Linked DNA regions of Nothobranchius furzeri. The protein of the gene in region 1 interacts with the protein of each later gene in a pairwise test. Links are inferred from orthologs where the notes say so. Each region holds a gene or a part of one and is shown in the gene's direction. Other genes may lie near its edges.

Region 1 (4,464 bases):
ATGGGCTATCTTAATTTAATAAATAAATAAATAAATAGTGCCGATAAAATAATAAATCTTAGTCACACAAACTACGCCTATTATCACAAATTTTACTAATTTGTTGAATTGATGAATAATTGAAGACAATATCAGACATATTTGTGTGTTTTTTATCGTTAAAGATGTTATAATATTCAATCAAACCATATCCAAATGAGTAAATACTAATCTCACAATAACAATTTTTACTTAAAAACGTCACAGACTTACAATATATGTAGTTTATTGTTGAAGAAATCAAAGTATTAACAAATAAAAGAAGTCAAAGAACAAAAAAAAAATTGCAAATCCATGAAGAAATTTGGAAATTTTAATTTGAACAGCTACTACCCTCTAGTGGCGTGATAGAATATTGCACATTTTAGATCAGCTACCCTTCGGATATATTTCGAGATAATCCGCCAGAAAATATATTTTTATTTTACATACATTTCATATAATAAATTACTCAAACTCTGTATATCTAAGGAAACTCGCCCGCCCCACAGTAGATGTGTTCATTTTTTATCATTATAGGCAATTCAAAGGAGGCAACAATTTAACTTAAAAGACCTGTTAACGTTACTTTCACTTTTATTTCAAACCAAATATACAAATTACAGAATTTACCCCGGCATCAGTGGGCTAACACGTCATTCACTTTGCCAATAAATGGGTTGAAAATGTTTCAAAATCTTTCTTTAATTTTCTTTTCATTACATCATGAAAAAAGACAACCGGAAATAAATGTTTTTCTATTTTCCTCATTTTATAATCATGTACCAAAATAACCTACATGAATAACCAGCAGGGGGCGCCAAAGCCCAAATATGTAAGACTACAATTAGTAACCCAAATAAATGTTGTTTTGAATGTTTCACTTTAACAATTAGAATAAAATAAAAACAACCGTATTTTGAATGAAAGTCACACCGGTCATTTAGAGGATAGTTTACAATAAAAATGTCAATAAACATGAGGATAAAGGATAAGAACAGCATGTTCTTTTCAATTAAGTTGTACAGAAAGAACAGCTTTAGAAAATATAATGAAAAATGATAAAAACGGAATATATTTATATAAAAACGTGAACTGGTCTTAGATCGTCGTAAACGTATTATCAGAATAAATCATAATGTTATTAAGCGGGGGCCAGCTCGTGCTGTAAGGCTTCCTAAGTGGTTTGTTTGCGGTGTGTTTTCCATAACACGCTCTCACACAACTGGTCTCCGCATTCCGTTCCTACTTAACGCTCATTGGCCGATTATCACGCCCGTCATATTTTTCCAGCCAAGTGTGACGTCTGATTGGCTGGAGCGCCACCTACGAGGCCAAAGCGAACGCCATTGGATGAAAAACTAGGTTAGTGGTTCGACAGTCATGACGGTGAAGAGAAACTGGGTCACTGATTGAAAATCGTTTATGTCACAGTTCTATGTGTTGCTATTACATATTACCATCACATTTGAATGGATCTACGGATTTTGTGGAATATTCTGTAAGTATAAAACGACTTTAAGTCTGTATTTTGCTAATGGGATAGCTTTGTCTGTGGTTTTTAATCCCTGATAGATCGTCATGGATATTTTCCCAGCACTCTGGTCCAGTCTGGTTTTGTGGAGCGCGAGGACGAATGCTAGCTCAGCGGCCAAGTCTTGACAGATCGCGTTCCGTAGCTAGCTGCTGTGAGCTAATATTAGCGAGCTAGACATTTTTTAATGAAAGATGGAAGCAACGCACTCAGTCTGTCGGCATAGTTTAAATTATTTCCAGCGAGCACCGGAGCTAGAAAGTGCCCGGGGCTTGGGTAAATGCCGGGTTGCTAAACGTTAACCAGACGTGACCTAAGTGCTAACAGGCTAGCAATGGAGACGGGCCTTCACAGGTATCTGGAACAGTTTCTTCGAGAGCACCAATCCTGCCGCGATAACTTCTGAGCCTCCCTCCTATATCTGTACAAATCTTGTCACCGTGGGGCTGTGAAACGCATGGAGACGTTCACCGAGCTGCTTAACAACACGAGGGTCATGTTTTTGGTTATAAAACATCAAGACACTGACAGTGGAAATGTGGTCCACCGCTCGTTTTCCACACACTCCGCGGTGGTTGCTCCAAGATGCTCACAGTTTTGCTGACACACACACACACACACACACACACACACACACACACACACACACACACACACACACACACACACACACTGTCTCGGTATTAGTACCTATATCACTTTTTTGAAGTAATAAGTACCATATTTTGATTTATTTGGCTTTAAGCATCTCTTTGGTAGACACATCTGGCTTTTATTCATGGTGTAAATATTAGTATATGTGCAAACCTTATTTTAATATTTCATGAACTCTGGAACTGCGCTGCTCTGGGTGGCTGCATGTTGGAGTAGCTCTGTTGACTTTATGTAAGTTTTGCCTTTTCTTCGGCATTTTTTCTTCTAGTTTCTCAAGAAAAACTGTATTTTTTGGACACTTTACTTTTCTGTTTCTGGTGCTGTGAAGCTTGGAGGATTTTTACTGCTATTTTTTAGCTTTTTTCACTTTATGAGCATTTGTTATGATGCGTAACCATGGCAACGAGCTGTTTACAATCGGAGCAGCTGATTAACATTGGAAAGGCTGAAATAATACCTCAACTGAAGCCACAAATCCAAAATGATCTAAAACGCAAGAAGCGTGGGTGCAGAGCGGGAGCTAAACGGAGACAGAGAAAGAGGAAATTCAAACCATCTCTTCCATCGATCATAACGGGCAATGTGAGATCACTGGCCAACAAGACGGAGGAACTCCAAGCCCTTTCAAGGACTCAGCCAGAGTGTCGGCAGTTTCGGAACCGCTGGAGGAGATAATGCAAAGAAGGATTCTCCAGAGAATCAAGAAAATGATGGACAACCCTGAGCATTCTCTTCACAAGACTGTCCGACAACGGAAGAGTGTCTTCAGTCAGAGGCTTCTTCAGTTTGGCTGCAACACTGACCGCTACTGGAGATCCTTCCTGCCAACAGCCATTGTAATATACAACAACTCTTTGATGACTTGATTATTATTATTATTCTGAGCTACTACAGCAATCAGTTTCCCTCTGGGATTAATAAAGTAGTTTTGAATTGAATTGAATGTTTAATTTTAGTAATCTACCAATATTTGGGTGCTTTCAGTTTTATGAACAATTTTGTTTGGAGAAAATGCACCAAAGAGACAATACTCCCTAAATTTCTTGACAAGTGGTAACCCACCACAGTTATCAGTATCGATGCGCTGCCACGAAAGCTATGAGATAACAGAAACAGTTGTGATGATGGAGCAAAGCTGCTAATCAAGGAGACACTTTTTCATGTCAAAAATCAAAGCTGTCATAAAAGTAAGTAGGGCAGAGGTTAGAGAGGTGGGAAAACTTACAAGATGTGGTTAGCCTGTCCGCCTCATTGTATTAGTTATAATTATGGAAAGCTTTCAACATCTCAAGCAGAGTGAGTCATGCAGAAAGCCTTGTGGAGTGCACTTATGTGGGGCTGTAAGAAAAGTAACCTTTTATCAGTTTATTTGTGCAAATTTAGTTTGAGCAATGGTTCTCAGTGATGTGCTTGACATTTGTGCATCATGGTGCTTTAATTGTCAAGATGCATGGTGTTTCCCAACCCTGGTCCTCAGGGCACACTGTCCTATATGTTTTCCCATGTCTCTGCTTCAGCACACCAGATTTACATTGGCTCCTCTGGAGGACATCAAGCACTGCAGAGGCCTGTTAGTCACTTATTCATCTAAGCCAGGTGTGTGGCAGCAGGGTGTTTAAAAGGGCAACACAGAAAACATGCAAGACGGTGTGTCCTGAGGACCAGAGTAACCACTGGTGGAGACCAGACCTGAAAACCACTGATTCAAGCGGTGTGGAGAACACAAGGTTCAAACAATCTGGTCTTGAGAGCAGGAACTGACTTCAGATTCAGGATTTAGATTTTATTCCAAGCACCCTCCTGGACCCTCACTGATTCAGTAACTGGATCAGCATCTTCTGGGGCCTTTTGACTCTGGAACTGTTTGGTGGCTCTCGGGTCTTCTTCACTGAAGACATGCTGGATGCCCAAAGGGCGCATTGCTGCCACAGCAACCATTTCTCGACAGCCACTCCCTTCACAGCCTCTCGTACACCCCTACAGCACGAGGAAAACGTAGCAGTGCCCCAATCACGACCCGATCAGGCACCGCCAACAGGGCCTGCCAGCCGAACACGACCGTCCCTGTAGCCTCTAGACAGCCAAACAAGGACCTCCTCTCCTCCGCAAACAACCGGCACCACAACAGGACATGATCCACGGTCTCCTGTTCCCCACAAGCTCAGCAGCCGTCAGGATGCCTCCCCACCAAAAACAAACTTGCCTTCAGGCAACTGGCCCAGCCTCAACCTAGTTAAAACCACCAAGTCCCTTCGTCT
Region 2 (4,322 bases), on another chromosome or scaffold:
TGAGTCAACTAACTGTCTGACTTAACGTTTATTATTTACTTCACTAATGTAATGTTTTACATTGCCATTTGTTGGTTTGACGTCCATCCTGCGGAAAACCCTGCAAGTCACATGTACTGATCTACTTTTTTTAAAATTCCTGCATTTGTTTTAAACCAAATTGGGTAATAAAACAATGTGATTTTTAATAAAGAATTACAGTTTGACCCCAATTTTGTTTTTCATTTAAATGCAGACTTCTGTCACGTGGGTGAAACTGTAATGGGAGCTTGGATTGATAAATACTTATGGGTATGCTGTTATTTCTTTGCCAAAAAACAAATCTCAGTGTCATATACACATGTTTCAATAAAACTAGCCTGACCTGTTCTGAAGGAAGTTAACACCCTTTAAATGTTTCTAAAGCCTCAAACTGATTGGTTCTAGCTTCTCTATGAAAACAAGTCCGTTTTTCTTTGTTTTGAGATTTTGATGCTAATTTAATGAGCATAAGAAAAACATTAAAGAACATCCAGATGTGAAACATCTTGGATCTCTTAAATCACACAGGATTGTTCCAGAACACATTTGGTTTACCCCATAAAATACGTCCTCTTATCTAAGTCAAAGTTTACACTATAATCGTATTTAACCTTTCATTAAGAAAGCGAGGGATGCCAAAAATTCAGGGCCATGTCATGTTGACAATAGCAATGGGAAAACCTCACAAATCATTTTTATCTTCACACTTTTCAATTAATTACGCACAAGATCATGAAAAAAAAACATGACCAATACAATGAGTTGAAAGAAGCTATTAACTTTAACTTTAGGGGGTAACTTGAACACAGTGCCAATAAACATTTGGACAAACATCAATTTTGGAAATGTGCATGAAAAAGACCCCCATGTTCCCAAAACCTGTAATTGTTTTGTAATTATTTAATAAATGTTTTTTTTATTTTCCTGTTACTGGTGTTTGTGTTCCATTTGTTTTGTTTTTCTTCAATAAAGAAAATTGATTGAATACATCGGACCAATCTGGTTTAGAATTTTTTTCGTCACCCGGTAAACCCACCCACCTTATGATGGCGCTAGCGTCAGTCTCAAACAAGTGATCCGCAAATGCGAAAAACTGAGTGTTTTTTTAAATGCTGCCTTTTTTATTAAGAATGAATTAATGAATAACTATTTTTAATAGTTATGTACCTGAGGTGAATTTTATTTTGAAGTATTATCAAGCGCGTGCTCACTAGTGGGCGGGGCTCCGACCAGCCCAAAGACATGTTACGTCGCTTATTCAGCCTCTGTCTCTGTAGCTGTGGACTCAAGACCCCGGTGTTGGTCAGCTCCGCGGTTCTCAGTATCATTATGTAAAATGCCGGTGTCGGTAGCCGGAGCATTTTCTCTCCCTTCGACTGGGTTTAATCCCAAAAATACGGAGAATATTACAGTTTTTCCCAGCAATACAATTTTTTCTTGTCAACTTTTTCAGACATTGAGGTTTTCAAGCCCACTTTCCCCACTCTCGCTACATCTTCTCGTTTTTTGGAATCTCATCTTTATTTAACAGAATACGGTAAGCTCTTCCTTCTATGTTTTCAAATTTACAGGTTTGACAGTTGTCATATAACAAGCTAACAGCGGCTAAAATTTTCCCCAAATTTCTGTCTATCTCGATTAACAGGCGATATTAATCATGTTTTAGAAATAAAAGCAACAACATTTGTTGCTTTGAAATGTTATAATAGCTGTTTAATATTTGCTCTTTCGTGTTTTAGACGTTCCTGGTTTATTACTTTAGCCCTGTTGCTATAAATAGTTACAAGCTAACACTGACCTAAAAAAATATTATGTTATGAGGATGCTTTCTAAAAAACATTTCTGATTTTGTGTGAAACTGAGTGAAGTTGAAAGCTTGACCCCGTCACTGTTTTGTTGTGACTAGTGTATAATGAAGCTTAGTGTGTGTTGTCACAAAGCCACCTGGGAACCTGCTGTTCCTTTTGGTCAAACTCGCCCTGATTGTTACAGCTGAGCTTTTATTGAGAGATTGGTACATTTTTCAGGCTTAATGAAATATGAAAGAATGCAAAAATTGATTAAGTAATCCAGGTGTGAAAACTAGATTTCATACATGGCATATGATGATGGTGAAAAGCCTCAATACTGTTCTAGTTCTGATTTTCAAAATAAAAGTCTTTGGTGCTGTCAAAAAGAACATATATTGTTCAATATGCTTCTATGCATATGTTGTCTTGTTTATGGATATGTTTTTCTGGCCTGATGTGTTAACACCAAGGCTGACACAGCAGACATGGATTGTGATGAGGATGTATGCGAACAGCTGAGTGGGACAGGATGCCTAGTTCCATGATTACTGAAATGGGGTGTTCACGGCACCATATGTTCCTGTTTACATCATGCTGATTAACATTTGGGCCAGCCTCATGACTCATGTCATCTATGTTGCTTCTCAGCTAATTTTTTAGCACTGTTACTAAAATGGACAATCTGAATTCATGTACAGCATTAGTTAAAAGTACATTTTCTGCTTTGCTTTAGGGTGTGTTCACATAGAAACTTGGACTGAAGATAGTTCAGGGGCTATTATTGCTGATGAAGAAAACCATGTCACCCTCAGCTGTCCTTTGAACTCATAAATGAGGGCTAGAGACAAATTTATAAAGCATTATTTATGTAGGTAGCTTCCATTTGAACTTGCTTTCTGCTAAAAAATGTCATCTTGTAATGTAATTTGGTTTGCTGCTTGTTTAAATGTATTACCGGTAAATATAAGTAGACATTTTTCAGTTTTAGCCCAACCTTACAAGGGCTTTGCAGGAGATTTCTTTTTCCAGCGACATAACTGATCACTTCTGTTCCTATTTTTTACTTATTTTTTTGCTTCAGCAATACTGTGTGTGAAATATCTTTGGCTTTTTTTCCTGCTAGAACGGTGCTGTGCTGAAGGTTAGTTAACTGATGACACACAGCCTCGTCTCTGATGTTACAGAGCATGTTGTGGGGAAAGTAGGTTACTGGGCCATGTCCTGAAGCTTAAACTGAATGCTAGTCTGAATGTTGCTAGAGCTGCTTAGTGTGACTAGGCATGCACAAATGGTGTGGGTCTGCGTAGCAGCAAAAGGGATCAGTGCAATGCTCTGTCTCTTTAAGAAAACAGAGCAGTGATCCACATAAAATGAATGCTGAATGTTCAGCCTATGCTGATCGATCTCATGAAATTGATTGAAATCTGACAACAGGTTGCTATTTGACTAATATCGACTTCAATTCAGTCAGTCGTCTTGGATTAACTATTTTATGCTAATCTTTAAATCTTAAATAAAATAAATTTAAAGGTGCATTGTGTAAGAATAGAGTAAGATTTCCCAAAGCAGTCTTAATGTCTCAGTCATGTTGGAAGGAAGGCTGTCCTTAAACATATTGAATTTTTTGCTGGCTGGCAGGGTTGTCTTTTTTTTCTCCTTTCAAAATAGAAGGAGGGAAGTAGCTACAGTTTAGCATCAGTGAGTGTGAGCTAACACTGCAGCGCCGGCATTTGTAACTCGACTACAGCCATCAAAAATCTCTAGAGTTGTTTAAAGAACCAAAGTCTGGAACAAGAGCAACCCAAATTTTTTTTCTTGTAACCCTAGGAAGCCACGGCATCTTTTTGTTGTACTCTAATATCAAGTAAAGACGGCTAGAGGCTAACATTGAGCTAACAATGCTAACAGTAAATTAGAAGCAAATAGTCAGCTCTAAAAATATCTTATTACAGTGAAATTTTTGCATAAAGTGAATAATGAGTCAAATATGGCGCTTTACTCCCTTGAATGAGTCATTCAGAGCAATAACTAATCTATCAGCCAGACCGTAAAAACACTTCTTGTATGCAAGAGGTATTTTACCGTAATACATGTAGGAAGTGCTTCCTAACGTAAAACACCCAATAGTGCTAGCACCAGATATGACAACGTATTTATCAACTTACTGTGTATGACTCATCTGTGCTTGTTACCTAGAATCTTTTGGTGCTGAGCTGTAGATGACAGCCACAAAACTCACGAAACAGAAGTGAACGAGATTGCAGTAACCAAATTTGACCACAGGATGTCATCTTACTTTATTCTTATGTGCTTCACCTTGAGTATGGAACAGTTTATCAAAAAACTATATTAAAAAAAACTCTGCAGGGCTTTTAGAGGTGTGCAGAAGGAAGCTACAGTGTTTCCTATAGAAGTTATATTTGAATAAAAAAAAATAATCAAATATTTATTTTGATGGGTTTGACTGGGTTTGTGTTTCCATTAGGGCTGGGCAATAAATTGAAAATGTAT

Evidence for each region.
Region 2: the proteins of bmal1a (region 1) and npas2 interact in binary tests that used the Homo sapiens proteins (3 or more experiments, as listed by UniProt). The link is inferred for Nothobranchius furzeri from reciprocal best matches to the Homo sapiens genes BMAL1 and NPAS2.

What each region holds. Positions count from the first base shown.
Region 1 is NC_091744.1:85,094,493-85,098,956, forward strand, and holds the start of bmal1a (basic helix-loop-helix ARNT like 1a), read left to right. Parts: upstream 1-1,361; 5' UTR 1,362-1,519; intron 1,520-4,464. UniProt on the Homo sapiens protein: Transcriptional activator which forms a core component of the circadian clock.
Region 2 is NC_091750.1:49,104,656-49,108,977, forward strand, and holds the start of npas2 (neuronal PAS domain-containing protein 2), read left to right. Parts: upstream 1-1,327; 5' UTR 1,328-1,558; intron 1,559-4,322. UniProt on the Homo sapiens protein: Transcriptional activator which forms a core component of the circadian clock.